Drosophila melanogaster: one gene and its partners. The protein of the gene in region 2 interacts with the protein of the main gene of each other region in a pairwise test. Each region holds a gene or a part of one and is shown on either strand. Other genes may lie near its edges. The genes, in order: loco, loqs, Hsp60B and dtn.

Region 1 (4,568 bases), on a different chromosome or scaffold from region 2:
TGTGGCCAAAACTATGTGAGAGGCGAGCAGGAATGAAGCATGTGCCAAAATAATACAATAGAACCAACTGAAACTTACTTGGGCTTAGTTGAAAAGAAAACTTTCGCTAGCCAAGAAATTAAAGTGAAGTAGGAACTAGACTTCTGGACAATTTACGAGCTCCCATGGGATCGCCAACCGTTTTGGTAACCATGTATATAGCACATATATAGTATGTGCGCGTCGAGTCAGTTTGGCAATATAAATGACGATAAATTAATTATCGGCCGATCAAGTCATTGTCGCCATTAATTATGGGCCCACGATGCACGGCCCAACGGCCTTTTAATAGTTTTTCACACGCCCACGGGACTCAGGACCTTCGGCAATTAGGATGTGAGGTAGATGGATGTGAGGTAGATGGAGATGAGGAGATGAAATGAAATATGGCGTGAATGGGCCGAGGTTTTATGACAATGTTTGCTGCCTGAATAGCGCGGCAGCATCGTCTGGGCCATGAATTTAATGCGCTGCAACAGTTAATGATTTTATTGGCACTCCAGTCGCAACTTGGCCACATCTTTGGGCAGAGACCGGGAATCGGGGACAGCGGATTGGTGTTAGAATCCTCGTAAACAGTCGGGCTGGAATTTATGACTTGGTCTCATGAATATAATCAATGTCAAGAGCGACGCCAAGTGTCGTCTGGGGATCGCACTTGCCGCGCTCTCGAATCCATTCCCCGCAAGAAATCTGAGTGCCCTGACCAGACGCAGACGAATCCGGATGAGCCGTAAACGAAGACGGGCAAATCGCTCGCCTGGCTTAAATGGCATTTCAATTTGGCACTTCCGTTTCCGCAACATCCCACCCCCATTGCTTTCTATTGGCTTTCTATTCTTTGTCCGTAATGTCCTTGCCAACATTTCAATTGGTTCAACACTGGCTGACTGGGGTCACTTCTGCAGGTCTTGCTACGGATAATCCTTAAACATTTCAGCGTTAGAACTTCGAACACTTCGATCCGTTTACCAATAACATTTTACATTTCACTCGAGCAATTTAACTGCTGTTTTCGGGTTCAAAAACTAATTCAACAGCGGTTCTGGGTGCGCGCGTTCAACCAATGCGTTTGAAAGTCCCAATGTAACTGAAACGGCGTGGGCCAAACACAAATAACACGCTACGCAGATGTAAGCTCACCGGAAGGACTTTAAAGGACGAGCGTTCGGAGCTTTTATTTAAATCGAAAAGTAACTGACGGCAGTGGGATGTGACAAAAGTTCGTTGCTATGCAACGAAGGTCAGCCCAGTGTGGCAACGATTGCTTCATAAATTTCAATGAGTCTGGCAGCCCTGTTTTTATCTAATTCAAATTTGTAAATATCGTTTTTCTATCAATGGTCAATGCCTTCAATATTTGAACAAATCAAATTTTCTCTAGAACTGCTTGTTAAAAATTGTTGACATTCTGCAAAACTTTAACAGTAATTACTAAAAATATGGTGTGTCAAAGTGATCGATGTTTCACAAAAGGTATGTAATATCGATAGTATCGAGTAAACATTTTAGTGTGTTCCATCTCTAATCATAGTTACGCTTGCGCATTGTAGACATAATTTTAATTACCGATTTACACACAATTAATTGCTACAAATATGCCTGATAAAGTTACAACGATGTTATTAACCGCGTGAATATGAGGTAGCACCCAAAGAAGAGTTAGTTATCAATTAATTAGAGGCCTAGAAAAGTGTAACAAAATACGCCTGGCCATTGGTGCGCATGTGTGTGTGCCATTGATTACATAGTTGGCATAGGCGACGCACGGGTGCGAGCGAGAGGGGGCATCATCCAAAAAGGGGCGCAACAGAAACCGCATTCCATTTCCAGAAATCCAGGTTGCAGCTTCCATCCATGAGAAAGGTGCGTACAAATGTCCAGATGTGGGTTAAGATTGGCCAGTACTCCTCATCATTCGTTTTCTCCACACAGTAAGCGCCATGCACCACCATCATCCGCCTTTGCCCATAACCGGAGCAAGTGGCTCCACAGCCGTGGGAACGGGAGCAGCTGCAGCGGAGGATGCATCACCTGCTGCGAATAGTGGGCCCGCCCCCATAAGCACCTCAACCACGCCTTCGGGATCCAACAGCCAGCAGCATCAGCGACGTCGCAAGAAGCGAGCCAACTACAACTACAATGGCATCCGCACCGTGGAAGTGCGACGTGGTTACAATGGCTTCGGTTTCACCATTTCCGGGCAGCAACCATGTCGGCTGTCTTGCATCATCAGCAGCTCACCTGCCGAGCAAGCTGGCCTGCGTTCCGGTGACTTCCTCATATCGGTCAACGGTCTAAATGTCTCCAAGTTGCCACACGAAACAGTGGTGCAGCTCATTGGCAACTCCTTTGGCAGTATTCGCATGCAGATCGCCGAGAATTATTATTCCGACAGCTCGGATGAGGAGAACGCCCATGCCACGCTGAGGGGTCAATTGTTGGCAGCCAGTTTGAGGCACAAGCCCAGGTTTCTACACCACAAAGCCAAACTGCACAGATTGCGCAACTCGCCACAAAAGAAGCTAAACCCACCAGAGGCAGTGGAACCGCACAAATCAAAGTCATCACCCGATCACCCTACATTAAAACCCGTTCTGGAGGATCCGCCTCTGACAGCCAATCTATCCAAAGCAGCGGATGTGGCCAATGTAAGTGCCATGGTGCGAGCTGTGGGCAGTGCTGCACTGGAGTGCCGTGTTATTGTTGGCTATCTGGGAACCATCGAGATGCCCAAGCAGATCTCGCATAGTTCCAAGCTGCAGACAGTTCGATCTTGCATTCGAAAACTGAGACAGGAGAAGCGACAGCCCACCATTGTGCTGATGTGCATCACGCCGGACAGCTTGAGCCTGCAGAGTTCCAGCGGCGGAGTGCTGGCCACCTACTCCTCGGCCAGGCTGAACTTCGTGAGCTCTTCGTCGGAGAGCGAGAATCGATTCTTTGGTCTGGTCACTAGCGCCGTGCACAACACACAGATCGAGGAGGAGTACGAGCCGAGCGCTGGCAGCGCAGCAGCTGCTGGTCACATCAGTATCTCGCACAGCTGCCATGTCTTCGTCATCGACACCAAGCTGATCGAACATGCACAGCATTTGCAGCGGGCCCACGAGTTCCGCCTGCAGTGCACCCGGGATCCGATCTCGAATTTGTGTCTCGAGTTCCCTAACAACTCGGAATATGTGGTGAATCTCGTGCGCAGCATGTATACCATGCGGATTCTCCCACCGGCAAGTCGGAGTCATCAGGCAGACTATGAGGCGGGTGCAGGAGCCGCCGCAGCTGGAGGAGCAGTAGCAGCTGCCCACTCGCCGCAGCCATCGAACCACAGCGAGATCTCCACCACCACGTCCAATTCGGATTCGGGCATTGGCTTCAACAACGATTGTACGAATATTTCGGATCGCATTCTGGTTGTGGACTTCCTAGCTGCAGGAGCGGGAGCAGCGGCGGCGGCACATGCAGGACCACCAACTTATCCAGCTCCTGCTCGTCCACTGGGCATAGTGGGAATACCGGATAATCGACTGACTGTGCGGGCCATGCCCGATCATTCCGCCCTGCTAAGATCGCCGCCAGCGAGCTCTTCGCTTCGTCGACCCAATCTCCTGGCCAGCTTCAATCTGATCCAAAGTCCCGCCACGAATCTCACATCCACCCGCTCCTGTGATGATGTCCTTAATCTTTTTGTCGACGATTCACCGCGCACTTTGGCTGCCGTGGCCTCTATGGATGACATTTCGCTGCACTCGGCTGCTCCATCGCTCGATGAGGGCCACACGTTTGCCCATCCAGCGTGTGTGCCCCGCAAGATGCGCAGATCGTTGGCTCTGGAGACGCCAACAACGCCACACAAGCTGAGTGCCCAGGTATTTGGTCAACCTGGCTCGCGTCATTCGCTGGGCTTCGAAGCCATCGACAGTGTGCAGTCGTCGGTCAGTGGTGCATGTATGGATCAGACCATGGACACGTGGGCCAGCCTGCAGAATCTGCACAAATCGCACAAGGATCGGACCAGCATGTCCGCTTCCTCGTCCTCCCACTGCCTTTTAGAAGCTACGAACAGTGAACCTGATTTGGGGGTAAGTGGAGCATATCCTTTTGTTTATCCTACATGTATCATAAGTTTTTGAAATGATTGGGAATACCTATAATATAATCATAAGTGCATTTTATATCAAATCTAACCCATACAACCCTCGGCTTATGTGAACCGCTCCTGTGCGCGGGCAGAAATCTGTTTACCTGGACGCCGCTCCAAGTTACCTGCGTTCTCGGAGCTTATCGCCCCACACTGCTCCTCCTGCTCTCTGGGCCCACAGATAAGGGGCTCTTTCTCTCTCTCTAGTGGTCTGGTGGGCCATATATCGGCATTCCTTTGTCCGCTTACCCGGAGTTTTGGTAGTCACAGTTGGGCTTTGGCAATAGGTGGCCACGGTTCCGTTATCTACGATTCGGGTACGGACATCGCCGGATTTTAGTTACTATTTACGTCCAGGCCGTTACACTGCAGCTCCGATCGGTATTAT
Region 2 (5,200 bases):
AGCGACGTTATGGACATGCCCGTCGATCCCAATGAGCCCACATATTGCCTATGCCACCAGGTGTCCTATGGAGAGATGATTGGCTGCGACAATCCCGACGTGAGTATTCGATTTTGATGTACTCTGTGGTCAGTTCTAGATCTTTCACTCTACCATTTTAGTGTCCCATCGAGTGGTTTCACTTCGCTTGTGTTGGCCTCACCACAAAGCCAAAGGGCAAGTGGTTCTGTCCCAAGTGTACGCAGGACAGAAAGAAGAAATAGATGCAATCCTTTATGATTACTTAGAATACTACTTTAGATTAAGCACAAAATTACCTATTTAAATAAAGCCACGGCTACTATAACTTCAGTATTATATTTGTCAATTTATTTCCTAACTAATTTGTAGTTAAATAATTCCATATCATAAAAGATGTTTTCACAGAATATTTCTAAAGTTGGATTGATTAATTTCAATTCATCAATGCCCTTTAATTCGGAGTTTACAAAGTTTTTCAGCCCAAGGAAAAGAAAACTGCAAAAGTAGCGATTACCAAATACCGATTATATTCATAAGCCTTTTTCCTTCGCAAACTAGCACGTAGTCTACCTTAAACCTAGTTTTATCTGCCGTTTTACGTTTTTCAGAATTTGAAAGCGACTAGAAGATTCCAATATCGATTACACGCTTGTCTGTATTTGCAAGCGTACATACATTCATCGGTAAGTGTAGTACATATATGAACATTTACATATGCAGTTAACAAATACAACTGCCTAATCAAAGGAATCGGTGGAAAAGAAACAAAATATATATATATATATATGTAACATCGCCACTGCATTGAGCCAAAAAGTGGAAAGAAAAGCAATTAGACTGGTGCATTAGTTATCCCGTATCCACTCGGTAATCGCTCTCATCAAATACTCGTGATCGTGGTCGTGGTGTGCGTTCAGATTTTGCTATTCAGTTGGCTGCACCCCCTACTTCTTGGTCATGATCTTCAAGTACTCGAGGGCATTCTGGGCGGCATGCCGCTGGGCATCGGCAGCTGTTGGTCCGCTGCCGTGGCAAACGCCAACGGGCAGCGTGGACAGTTGAACCAGGCACTGGAACTGGCCAGAGAAGGTCTTCTCCTCTATGTCCACATAGGTCACCTCGAACTGGTTCTCCGTGGCGATTTCGCCCAGCAGCTTGATGTAATCAATCTTGTTGTTCTTCAAGCAAGTCTTCTGAAAAAAATACAAATGGAGTCGAATTAGCAGAGTCAAATTAAACTTTGAACTTTCAAGCAAGAACACTATTATTATAAGGATTGTGAGGGGTTAAGGCAAATATGTACTTTCGAAAGCAGGTTTTGAATGTTGGAAATATGTTTGTGATCGTTTTTGAATAAAAAGCGTTATTGGATTGAAATTTACCTGTAACTTAAGCAGTTTTTTGCCCGTTGCATTTTTTAGGGTCTTATGGAACTGGGATACTTTGTTACTGTGCTGCGTGGTCAGTGTCGGCACAGAGATATCTTTCAATTCACCATAATAATTTTCACTACTGCGGGGCTGTAAATAAGAGCGCAAAGTTTTTGGTTTCTTTTCTCCATTGCATTTCGCACACATTTGAAATCACACACGCCAATGGTGAGTTGAAACATATCACTTTTGTGTGGAAAAGGTGCTTTACAGATTCGTTCTTTAAAACAATCACCATGCCAAGGAACAATATGAAAAATGAAAAATGAAATAAGCCAATATAAACCATAAATAAAACCAGAAATATAAATAAGGTGTAAGCATTATGTTAATTATATGTATAATTATGTCAAAAACATTAGTTATAAAAACAAGGACAATAAAAAATATCAGATAGCACACTATAAAAGGGATGCTATAGTACTAAAACTCTAGCTAGATACATAATTTAAAAGATTATAGGGATATTTACAACTGAGGATTACTCTAAACGTTCTACATTACATTTGAGAAGGGATAGAGGACAAACGTATTAAATAATATATAACATTTATGACATATATTTGATAAAATCAATTTTTAAAATTTTATAAACTAAAGCATGGGACTGCATTCAAAATAATTGCACTAAAAATATTAGAAAATTGCTTGTGGGTTAGATCTTGATGAACTCAAAATCTTTAGAGACTTGCTCGTAACGATCGATGTCTTGAATGATACTCACTTCGCCCTCCAACTCGCCGCAGATGCTGTCGCTGATTTTGCCCGAATCGATGGGAGTCTCCTGCAGACGCATCCACATGCGGTGGGCGGCCAAGCGCTTGGCTATCTTCTTGCTTTTGCCCTTGCCCATCTCGCGGTAGTTGAGTATCGAGCAGGCGATCGTAAAGAGCCGCTCGTGGGGAAGACCCACTTCCGTTTCCGTTTCGTACGACGGCGGTGGCCATCGCCGTTGCATGCACATTTCCTGCAACCAGCCAATCGGATTACCAACGGTCTTGTCGCTGGCACTGCAAGGACATAATACAATAAATTGGATATCTTAGAATCATATCTTAGACATCAATAGAATAAAAACTCACTCTCCTCCGCCTGTGGCATTGGCATTGCCGTCTCCTCCGCTTCCGGCGACCGTGAGCCCAGTCACCGACGGACCAGCGGAGCTGCTAGGCGATTCCGGCAGCTGCGCGCCGATCAGCTTGTCGATGAGCGCACGGGCCGCCGCATGCTTGGCCTCCTTCTTCGATCGTCCTGCCCCCATGGCCGTGAAGGGCGTATCCTTGTCTTTAAAGGACACGCGAAACCGGAAGGTCGGCTCATGTATGGCGCCCTCGATCTGGACAAGTTCATAGCCGGGAGTAATTCCTCGTCGGCTTAGCAGCTCTTGCAGAATGCTGACGGGCGTCTTCATGGCCAGTCCATTGGCGTCCGTTTCGCTGACGAACTTTAAGGCCTCGTCGCTGGGCAATATTACGCCCATAAGGCCGACTCCACCTTGTAAGCCCGATCCGCCCGCCAAGGCAGGATCACCAACATCTGACAGCTGCAGCTGACCTGGCTGAGACAGCTGCGCAACCTGGGCGGATATCTTCTCCTTCTTGAGCTTCACATGGCGCTGCCCCAGCGGAGCACCCTTCACCGGACTACCACTGACGGCATTTCCATTGCCCAGGCCGACAAGGTTATTATAGTGCCGCCGTGGAGCAAATCCCGTCTGGACAGGATTGGGGGACGCCTGCTGCGGCTGGATGTGGAGGTTCTGTAGCTGCTGCGGCAAGCTGGAGCCGTGGAAATTCTCCTGGTCCATGGTGTTCTTGTTTTGCACGGTTTTCGGGAGGATTCGGTGTGTATCTGTTTAAAATTTCGGGGTAATTGTTGTTTGAAAAATCGATACATCACCGACGAATAGCGGGCGAAAAGTCCAGTTGACACTCTCGCCGAAATTCGGGGAGTACTCACGTTTGAATCGCGGTTTTAACTGTTTTTTATTTAATAATAATTTATTAATGGTTAGTTAATAATTCATTCTTAAATAAAAAATACAGCAAAATCCAGACGCACACACGAATTGTATGTATTTTACTGATATTTGTGGTTGCCAGACTTTTTTTGGATTGCCTACTTATTACACCCCCTACTCGTAGAGTAAATATGTTGAAATAAATGTATGTAACAGGTACAGAACATTTTTTTGTACAAATATATAATAAAATAGACCATGAATACTAATTTAACTCAAAAAAAAAAAAGAACAAAAATAATTTTTAATTTCTCCTGGCATGATCGTAAGTTTGTTTAAAAGTTTTATCGATAAGATATCAGAATGTAATCGAAATAGTTGAAGTGAGCGCCATATTTGAAATTGTTGTATAAGTATTTATTGCAGTGTTTGCTCCATTACTGTTGTACATATTATTAATAGATATATATTTAAACAACATTCAATCAAATCAAATGTGAATGCATGCGCGGAATTCTGTGGCTCGAAATGCACGAAATGTGGGACTCCCGTAGCAGTAAACGATAGTTTAAATGGTATTCTAGATCTGGCTGTGATCTTCCGTCCTAATCGTCGCTTAGAAAATCGTCATCGAGGTTCACATCTGTCGTATCAATGTTATCATCCAACGTAATTCCATCTATTTCCAAGTCCAGGTCGTCGTCGTCATCCGCAGCGGATGTAGGCTCGGCCACCTGGCTGCTAGAAACAACAGCTTGAGCGGGAACGTAAGCTGGCTTCACCTTCTCCTCCAAATGCTGGCCGGCGGCACCCTGCTCGGCGGCAAATAGTTCTTGCAGAGGATGACGTTCGCTATTCAGTGGTAGATTCGCAGCGAGGCGTGCCGGCGCCTTACGAGCTCGCTCCTCCTGCAAATGCTGCTCCACCCGCAGCGCATCGCCCAGGCCAGGGAAGAGATTTGTATACTGTGCCGGATCGGCCAGCGACTGTCCCGCCTTTTCGTTGACCTTTCCAAGCTTCTCCCGCCAAAGCTCTACGATCCTTGACATCTGGCTGGGCAGGTAGGTGCGGGCAAAGAACGCTGCCTCTGGCAACCGATTTGTCTCAATGAGAATCTCCAAGCAGCGTTCCACGTCTGAACGAAGGAACGCCGAGAGGAAAGCTAGATTGTGATGTCCCTGGGCCGAGCCAGCCGCACCCACCACCTCGAGCAGCTGGGCATCGCCGGAAGCTGTTGAGAGCAGCAATAGACCGCTTAAGTCGTTTGCCTTCTGCATGCACTCTTTAACCAGAGACATGTTGTTCTTGCTAGACGCCACATCTGCCAGCTGTGACCACTTCTGGGAGTTCTCCGACTCACGGGCCAGCTTTAAGGCGATTTCCAAATCTCCGATCTGTAAGGCCAAGTCAAACTTATGGTCGGCATCGGTAGAGACTTGCAGGGCCTGCGACTTAAAGCCCTGTTTCTCCAGAAAATGTGCCACCCTAGTGCGGTGCTCCTTGGGAATGGTCGGTAGCACAACGTCTGCGCGCTCAAAGTCTCTTCGCATAACCGCCGTCTGGTACTCCAGCACGGACAGCTGCAGACAGAAACTGATCACGTTCAACTCCTTATCGCCGAGGTAAATACGATTGTCCTTGGGCACGTAGCCCAGCAGATACATTGTGCGGTCTAAGTGGGATACTGTCACAATCTCGCCGCCCACGTAGTAGTTGATGCGGTTCACCGAGTTGGTATAGATGAAGCAGTCTCCCACCCAAAGTCCTGTTTTGACGCACTCCGAAACCT
Region 3 (4,516 bases), about 13 Mb from region 2:
CATGCACTCTTGACACCGCCCGGTACGTGACAATATGAGAGGCACTCATTCCGCGACGCAGAGTTGGCCACAGTTGGGTCAAAAAAACTAGGGGGGCAAAGGCTAAATTGAGGCTAAGCTTTAGCTGCCTCATTACACTCAGAAATATGCACTAACAGCTAGCGTATGGCCAGAATTGAAACATGACACACACATTTTATATGCCCGTTAATTACTGTAATTCAAGATCAAAATTATTGGCCATTTAAAATTGTTGAACCTGATAATTTGCTATGACGACCACCAAATTATTTATTTTAGTGCAGTTCATCGATAGATCGCTCCCATCAGCTCAATCTGCACTTGGCTGCCCCAGATCCCAGATCCAGGAATTTCGTCTGCCTGGTACTTACGCAAATGCTCAGATTGAACTGCCAGTCTATCGTCTGCAGTCTATCCATTTCTCATTAAAACTTTCTTTGCTGTCTGCTCCACAATTACCCGAACGACTTCATCTGCTCGATCCACGGATCCATCCGCGGGTAATGACAGAGCCGGCAAAAAATCTGCCAAAACCAATAGGAAATCATCAGCCAACGGTCAGTGGGTTAATTTTGGCCCACCAAAAATACTGAAATGAATTGGAGAATCCCCGAAGATGGCCTGCAATTAATCATAGATTGAGGCTTATTCGCTATCCAGCGAAAGTAATTTGTAGCCGACAAGAGACCCTGCAGATCGCTTGTAGTTACGATTATCGCACAGCCCACCAGGTGGTCTTCCCACCATGGACACTTTCACATGTCGCAGAGTTGGCGCAGATGGGGAGAAAGGTTGCGAGAGGAAGAAGAGTCGTCGAACATGCAAATGCCTCATCAATCAGCTCCTCCGCCCTTCCCCTTCAAATCGGTGACGTGCTTTTGACACAAAACCCGGCTACTGTGCTACCGCTTGCACATGGCAATCAACGCGTCAAGCGGCCAGGAAACGGATCCCGATTCCGACCCCAGTTCCAATTCCCGTCTGCGGCACACAGAAAAAAGTTATACCTACTGAACTAAATGTGACATTATTTTATACGTATAGAATACGAGAGATAGCTCATATAAATCGCATTGAATTTATATGCAAACCTATTTCTAAACATTCATACCTAAGTGCAATTCATCGTGCGAAAGTAATGCCTTCTTGCGCGCTGTGCACCCAACATTTTCATCCCATCTCCATTTCCATCTCCGCCTCAAACTCCCCATTTCCATTTCCATTTGCCGTTTGGCTTGCAGCAAAATGTGTGAATTTCTTTAGTTTGCAGTAGGCAGCACACAATTTTTGACAGCTGCCTTCGAAATGGGAACGGTCAGCCGAGGAAAATGCATCCATCCTCCGGTGCAGAACAGTCGCACCGCAGTTCTGGGAAATCTGCACACGCTGGTCTTGTTTGTGGGTCAGCCTCAGCCGATGGAGGCGAATAGAACTGCAAATGGGCAGACTCCACCCAGAATGTCGGGGCTTATTAGCTGCACGCTAATTTATTCCGGCAAACAGAAGGCACGGCTTCTGTTGTCGAAGATTTCAGAGCCGCAGATCGCAGACGGGCAGGCGCCAGACAAATGAATGTTGTGAAATCTGGCGATTGCCTGGAAACTTGTCCGCAAAGAGAAAAAAGAAAAAAGAGAAAAGTGCTCAAGGAAAAGCAATATAAATAAAGAAGAATGGCTTGCACATGTTACATAAAACGAGAAGCTTAAAGATAATGGAAACAAAATTTGGATTTGAATATGGGAGTAGGCCTTGAACGAGTCCGTCTAGTCCGTCAGTATCGAGTCAACAACCTACATATTAGTTGCACTCACTTCGTGTCTGAGATCAAACGAAAAAATATTAGAACCAAAAGTTTTGAAAGTTTTTTTTTTATTATAGTTTCAAACTTAAGTGCAAAATGTTTCGGTCGTGTGTGCCCAAGGCGATTACCTCTAGTCGCTGTTTCGCGCGGATGTACTCGAAGGACGTGCGCTTTGGCTCCGGAGTACGGGCAATGATGATCCGGGGCGTTGATATTCTGGCTGATGCCGTTGCTGTGACCATGGGGCCCAAGGGTCGCAGTGTGATCGTGGAGCGACCATGGACCTCGCCGAAGATCACCAAGGACGGCTTCACGGTCGCGCGCTCGATTGCCCTAAAGGACCAGCACATGAATCTGGGCGCCAAGTTGGTCCAGGATGTGGCCGATAATACGAATGAGTCGGCGGGTGACGGCACGACCACAGCAACAGTTTTGGCTCGAGCGATTGCCAAGGAAGGATTCAATCAGATTACCATGGGGGCTAATCCCGTGGAGATTCGTCGAGGTGTCATGTTAGCTGTTGACGTCGTAAAGGACAAGCTGAAGGAAATGTCCAAGGCAGTGGAAACGCGTGAGGAGATCCAACAAGTAGCCACCCTCTCCGCGAACGGGGATACTGAAATTGGGCGGCTCATTGGTGAGGCCACCGACAAAGTGGGTCCAAGAGGAACTATTACTGTAAAGGATGGCAAGCGCCTGAAGGACGAGCTAAATATTATCCAGGGCCTGCGCTTCGACAACGGCTATGTGTCGCCCTTTTTCGTAAACAGCTCCAAGGGGTCCAAGGTGGAGTTTGCCAACGCCCTTGTAATGATATCCCTGAAGAAGATCACTGGACTCTCGCAAATAGTTAAAGGTCTGGAGCAATCCCTGAGGCAGCGTCGTCCCCTGATCATCATAGCCGAGGACATCAGCGGGGAAGCCCTCAATGCTTTGGTCCTGAACAAGCTCAGGTTGGGCCTCCAGGTGTGCGCCGTCAAATCGCCCAGCTATGGACACCACCGCAAGGAGCTTATAGGCGATATATCCGCTGCCACGGGAGCAACTATTTTCGGCGATGACATCAACTATTCCAAAATGGAGGAGGCTAAGCTGGAGGATCTGGGTCAGGTTGGCGAGGCTGTGATTAGCAAGGACAGCACCATGCTCCTGCAGGGCAAACCCAAGACAGGACTTTTGGAAATGCGCATCCAGCAAATTCAAGATGAACTGGCGGAAAAGCAAATCAAGCCAGAGCAGCGGGATCGTCTGCGCCAACGCCTCTCCGCCCTCACGAAGGGCGTGGCAGTGCTGCACATTGGTGGAGGCAGTGAAGTTGAGGTGAATGAGAAAAAGGACCGTGTGGTGGACGCCTTGAATGCCACTCGAGCGGCCATCGAAGAGGGAATTGTCCCAGGTGGCGGTACGGCCTTTTTGCGCTGCATTCCCTACCTCCAGGAACTCAAAACGGAGAGTGCAGATCTCCAGAAGGGCGTCGATATCGTCTGCAATGCCCTGAGGATGCCTTGCCAGACCATAGCTCAAAACGCCGGAGTTGATGGCCCAATGGTGGTGGCCAAGGTGTTGAATGGCTCGGAAGACTACGGCTACGATGCCATGGGCGATGAGTACTGTCGGCTGGTCGAGAAGGGCATTATTGATCCCACAAAGGTGCTGCGGACCGCCATCACGGATGCAGCTGGAGTGGCCTCTCTTCTGAGCACCACCGAGGTGGTTATCACCGACTCCCGGAACGATGATCTTTTGTCCAAGTTGTCAGGAGCTGGCGGCGGAATGGATGATGGACTGGACATGAACATGGGTGGCTTAGAGGAGCTGGCAGCCTTAAGTGGATTGGGTGGCATGGGTGGTATGGGAGGCATGGGTGGTATGGGAGGTATGGGAGGAATGGGAGGTGGATTCGGCGGAATGGGCGCTGGTGGCGGAATGAGCGCTTCTGCCAGCAATGACGGTCCCACTGCCGAGGAGATGAATGAAATGGTCAAGGCTATTCCCGGCATGGAGCAAGTAGAGGTGCGTGACATTGACAGTGGGATGATGTAGAACCCGCTTCCGTTATCCGCTCCAGCTCAAATCGTTTCTATAGTTCAAATATCTGTTGAGTGTCTAAATTTTATGTGTTCATCTAAAATATAAATTGACAATCGAAAACGAATTGTATAAAACAGTCGGGAACCCTTCCAAATGACTTGAGAAAGTGAATTATTGGCCTTTTCCCTACACCAGCAGTTTTCTGGCCAAATATCTTTCAACCGGTTCATTATGCTGGTCTGCAAAAAGCTACACTTCCTTCACACTTTCGGTTTTTAATTGCAGCCGAAAATTTGGAACGGCGACCGGCAGAGCGAATCCAGCTGCAATGCGATGATCATTTGCATAAAACAAACAGCAATTTCTCACACATGTGAGCCGACCCTCGGTTTTTTCCCCCGTACTTTGCATGGTTTGTGTTTGCAGATTTCATTTGTGGCCCGCAGCTAAAAAAGCGATTCGTTACATGAGAGTGAGTGCGCAAGAAGGGGGGCCTGAGGCTGGGAGCCTCCACAAGAGCGTCACATCAAACATGCATCAATAAATAAGTAATTCCAATTTGCAAATTTTTCATCGAGGCCCGCAAACGAACCGAAAATGGTGGACGGACCCATCGAGCATCGAGCGTGGGCCAGGGAAAAGCCACAGCCTCTTGGACCTCGC
Region 4 (4,646 bases), on a different chromosome or scaffold from region 2:
ACGGCAATATCTCTGTAATCACATAGTAACACAATTTTAATGAATATACGCGAATTGAAAGTCGTATAATGTTCACTCACCGCAAAGGAGTTTTGGAGCCATCGGTAAACTCCAGATCGATGTCAAGCAATCCCTCCTGGTACTGAGCAGTTAGCTTGTGTGTGACAGAAGTCTCCGCCAGGTAGCCGTTCTCAATCGTGTTGTCCGGACTGATGGTAAGCTGCAGACCCGAAATAACGCGCACGATGAGCTTGGAAAGGTTCACCTTGTCGCTGCCCACACGGATTTCCTTGGTGCCAATTACTCGACCCGTTATGGGTGACAGGACCTGGACATCGGTGCGTCCCATGGACTTGCCCTGCAGAATTCGACCCTTCAGAGATGCGATCTTGGGATCGGCCACACGGAGCAGCGGTTGCACCAGATCCGTCACTCTTAAGCCTGTACGCCGTGAGATAAAGTAGCTGGTGCGTCCAGAGTTCTGTTTCAAATGGATAAGAAGAGAAACATGGCTATATAATCACTTTTGACGCTTATGAAGCTCAGGAATTCCCACCTGGTCCACGGCCAGGAACTTGGCATACACCTCCACGGGACTTTGCTGGTAGCGAGCGCGACAAATCGTCTTGTCCGCTCCCAGATTGTTATAGTAGTTCGTTCCATGCTGACCCCAAACGTAGGATCTCTTCTTTCTTCGACGAGACTGCTTGTTGTGTCTGCCATGCAATGAATAAGAATGATAAGTAAGATATTCAAACTACAGGATAATAAACTTACAGATAGTGATTGTCATCGGTTACTTTCCATCCTTTGATTTGGGAGAGACGGAAATCGGATATGTAAACTTCCAGCGGAAACTCGGGCATCCAAACGATGAACTTGGCCACGCCCACATAGGTGCCATACTTGACAATGACCGAGGCATTGGATGAGCCGCGCTGCTCGGAGCCATCCACATAAACAGAGCTGCAGGAGGAGGAGACCTGAAAGAAGTTGATTGGTTATTTAGCTAGCAATTGCACGATTCACAGTCATCAGACGCACCTTGATTACACTTTCATCTTCGGCGTGACAGGAGCTCTGTAGCGTCACATCGGCCACCTTGCCTGCCTGCGAAACGATGAACACCTTCATCGCCTGGGCCACCTGTCTGCCCGTTAGCACCGCCGTGTTCATCACCTCCCAGATTTTGGCCATCGGTAGCACCGCCTGAATGTCATCCTTGTTGATCTCCAGCTTGGCAATTAGTCGCTTCTTGTTGTCATCGGGTATAACCAGTTCCCCGGAATCCTTGTCCTTTGGCGTGTCATAGACATGCGTCACGGACCACACAATCTTGCCACCGTCCACAATATCATTGGTGTCCTCGGCCACCTCGAGCAGCCATGAGAATACTTCAAACACCTCGCTGGTTAGGTTGCCACCACTTTCCAGACTGGATTCGGCCTCTTTGCGGAAAGCAGTAACGCGAGCGGTAGTGTGTTTGGGATTTTCCTTCTCTACAGAAACGCTCCATTGGTCTGTGGAGGCGGTGGCGCCCAGAATCTTTAAGCCCGCCTTAACACGAGCTCTCACAGTGAAGGCGGCCACCCGCTGATCGGGATATTGATGTAAAAAGACGGGCACATGTAGACGGGAGAGTGGATACAGCGGATGTTGTGGCAGGAGAAAGGTGACGGCATCATCGGCGCGCAACATACGATAGGGAGTCCTGGCGGCCAACAAAGGCACCTGGGCGAATGTGGTCAACGGTTGGATCTGCACCTTCGGCTCGCATTGCTCGGGATTACGCAAAGGCGGTTCAAAGACACTGTACGAGACCTGGGCATACCGCTGCGGTACTTTGGGTGGCGCCTGACCACTGCCATCTTGTGTGGGCGCCGGCAGCTGGGGCCACCAGCCCAGGGGCACGACCACTTCGGCTACGCAGACACCGTCCTCGCCCTCCGGCATGCAGCGTCCTTTGAGCGGCTGCTCCGAACCCATCGCCACGTGCAGGAGTACACAGACCTTCTGGCGCTGCAAATGACCACCCGGATCGGCTCCGGCGTGGAATAGTACCCGAAGCACGGGAGCATCCTGCGATACACTGGAGCGAACCAAATGGGCGGATATGTCCAGGTGCATATTTGGCTGCTGGAGCTCCAGTAGAGTGGCATTCTGTGGGAGAGAAAGTGGTATGACAAGGCGTCCTTTTGTTGCTTGCCAGGATTTGGGGATAACTCACGTTCATATAATCGCCCGACTGGCTGTCCATTGTGTCCGGCACAATGTAGCGGGCTGGCACCGTTTGTTTCGTGGAAAACGGTCCATAGCTGGCGCGTATGGACACCGGCTGCGTGGTCTCGACCACAGTGAATCTGTCCAGAGATAACACGGAATCATAGGAGGATCGTTGCCGTAACGGCGGCACCGCCGAGGATGTCTGCACATTGGCGATCTCCGGCGTCACAGGTGGTTGGCGGGCGTGCTTCAGAAAGAAGCCGCTGTCCGGCGCCTCGAAGTGCACCTCCACGGAGTCTGGCGAGGATTCGGCATGGATTTGTTATGGGTTGGGAGTAGATGAAGGAGTCAATTAGTTGAATTTTGGTAATGGTAACATAGGGGTTGGGGATTTTCTTAAACCCGGAGGTCACCCACTCCTCCTTTATCCCCCTCCCACTGGCTTACTCCCTCCTCCCACTCCATCGCTTTTTTTGTACCACCCCCCTGGGTTTGGAAACTTTATTTGATACTTACATGCCAACGACAGCTGCAAAGCAATTATGAGGCAGTATCTCATCATCTTGTTCGTGTGCAGGAATCCAAAATATATCGAAATCCTGAAATCCTGTGCCCACCCACTCGTTAATTTGCTAATTAACTGTGCCCGCACTTTCGTTATTTTCACTGTTCTCTCGCTTGTGTGGCTTATTTGACCGTTATTCCGTTAATCGTGCCAAAAGTCAACCGTTAATTCGCGCTGGCTAGCACTTTTCGTCCTTTTTTCTCGCTCAGCAATCCGCAGCACATCCTTTATTGATTCTTTCCAGTGTGCCCACACACCCACACACCAACACACACTCACACGCTGCTCACACACACAGCCGTGGGCCACCTCACACACAGATACACATGCACATGCAGGTATAGACACATCTTCTCCTGCAAATCGCGCAGTTCAGTTCGAAATTAATTGGACCGCAACCGTGCCAATCGATTCGATTTTTCACTCGACTCGCTTTTCACGCGCTGGCAAGGATCTGCTGGGCTGGAAAATCCCTCGTTCGACGCCCTAATGCATGCCTCTTTTCATTCAGGTCTCTCAGAATTTTACACAAATATCGAACATTCCAAACACTTTGCAGTGTGTCCATACCGTATTGAAAACAATATCCTAAGATAGTGGTACTACCGTATTTGGAAGTGCTGTAATATGGGGCTGCCAGACTGTGCGCATACTCCTGAAACTCCAATCAGAACGCGGGCAATTCAAAAAGTTAATACCAAAAAAAAAAAAATACCATGTTTGACAGTGAAGAATAAAGAAAAATAAAATTAATTGGGATTGCTTAAGAAAATTTTTTGAGAAACTTTAGATTCTACAAGAAAAGAGCTTCTTAGGAACGAATATTTTAAAACAAGATCTGGTAGCACAACTGACAATAGGTTTTTAGGATTCTAATAGCCATGGTCCTAGTCTCAGTAGTATTCACATTTGTAATATAATTTTATATTTTATAATATAATTTATAGTCTTAATATTTATTTATTTTAGGAGCTCCAACAATTAGCACTTTTGCACAGTAATTTTTAGCATATTCTGCGGTATTTTCTGATAAATTGAAACCGCCTCTATGCTGGTCACACTTGGCCTTCTCGTCGAACCGAAATTATAAAAGACAAAAGTGCAGCTGGTCGAAAGTTGCATTAACGAAACTTCGATAGTATTAAACACTCGGCATTCGGCAGCTGTGAGTATGAATCAAATCAGGCGTAATCAAGCAATCATATTCGATAAAATAAACGAACTGAACTCCCAAAGGGCGCTGCCCTATGTGAGTGTGCGTGTGTGTTAGTGTATGCGTATGAGTCAGCGTCGGCAGCGCGCAAATGAAAACAATTGTTTTTGTGCTATAATTCCATTTAAATGTCCATTCGAAAGTGATAAATCAACGAAGTCGCAAACATTTGGCCCAACTTGAGTTCTCGAGTGAATTTGGGTGCTTCAACTGCGGTTTTTTTCTGGCCTTTTAAGGCTTTAATTGAAATGCGTGTGCCAGTGTGTGTGAGAATGTTTTCAATGAGCCAAATACGTGTGCGATGTTGTTTTTGTTAACCGCAGTTCAACAGCATTGATAAACTCGCATACACATGCACGCACTGGCGCAGAGCGAGAGCGAAACTCCCATACGTGTCATTTTCGTTTGCGCGAGTGACTCAGAGAGCTGCGCATGTGTGCGTGCATGAGTCGTACTCACAGTGGGCGCCCGATAAGGTGGACTTGTAACTGTAGCGGAAGCATGGAGCCATCGAACTGCTTTTGCATTATCCTTTCTGGCCTAAAACTGTATTAAAACTATTTATTTATAAATATAATTTGTAGTTCGCCCATTTTAGGCAATGGCCAAACCTTCATTCCTTAAAAAACCTTAAAGAGCAGCAAT

Evidence for each region.
Region 1: the proteins of loqs (region 2) and loco interact in a two-hybrid assay, tested with the Drosophila melanogaster proteins (one large-scale study listed by BioGRID).
Region 3: the proteins of loqs (region 2) and Hsp60B interact in a two-hybrid assay, tested with the Drosophila melanogaster proteins (one large-scale study listed by BioGRID).
Region 4: the proteins of loqs (region 2) and dtn interact in a two-hybrid assay, tested with the Drosophila melanogaster proteins (one large-scale study listed by BioGRID).

The regions. Positions count from the first base shown.
Region 1 is NT_033777.3:22,636,354-22,640,921, reverse strand, and holds the start of loco (locomotion defects), read left to right. Parts: upstream 1-1,534; 5' UTR 1,535-1,905; intron 1,906-1,974; 5' UTR 1,975-1,982; coding exon 1,983-4,121; intron 4,122-4,465; exon of another isoform or gene 4,466-4,568. UniProt on the Drosophila melanogaster protein: Acts as a regulator of G protein signaling (RGS).
Region 2 is NT_033779.5:13,380,998-13,386,197, reverse strand, and holds loqs (loquacious), read right to left. Parts: upstream 3,547-5,200; 5' UTR 3,411-3,546; intron 3,303-3,410; 5' UTR 3,259-3,302; coding exon 2,534-3,258; intron 2,462-2,533; coding exon 2,176-2,461; coding exon of another isoform or gene 2,107-2,175; exon of another isoform or gene 2,033-2,106; intron 1,672-2,032; coding exon of another isoform or gene 1,542-1,671; coding exon 1,404-1,541; intron 1,377-1,403; exon of another isoform or gene 1,215-1,376; coding exon 966-1,214; 3' UTR 527-965; downstream 1-526. Other genes in the region: Ing5 (inhibitor of growth family member 5), read left to right, coding at 1-99, 162-263; beta'COP (coat protein (coatomer) beta'), read right to left, coding at 4,017-5,200.
Region 3 is NT_033779.5:726,590-731,105, forward strand, and holds Hsp60B (heat shock protein 60B), read left to right. Parts: upstream 1-1,772; 5' UTR 1,773-1,918; coding exon 1,919-3,865; 3' UTR 3,866-3,975; downstream 3,976-4,516. UniProt on the Drosophila melanogaster protein: Prevents misfolding and promotes the refolding and proper assembly of unfolded polypeptides generated under stress conditions.
Region 4 is NC_004354.4:6,224,314-6,228,959, reverse strand, and holds the start of dtn (detonator), read right to left. Parts: upstream 3,025-4,646; 5' UTR 2,786-3,024; coding exon 2,740-2,785; intron 2,521-2,739; coding exon 2,228-2,520; intron 2,161-2,227; coding exon 1,045-2,160; intron 984-1,044; coding exon 778-983; intron 717-777; coding exon 557-716; intron 482-556; coding exon 81-481; intron 13-80; coding exon 1-12.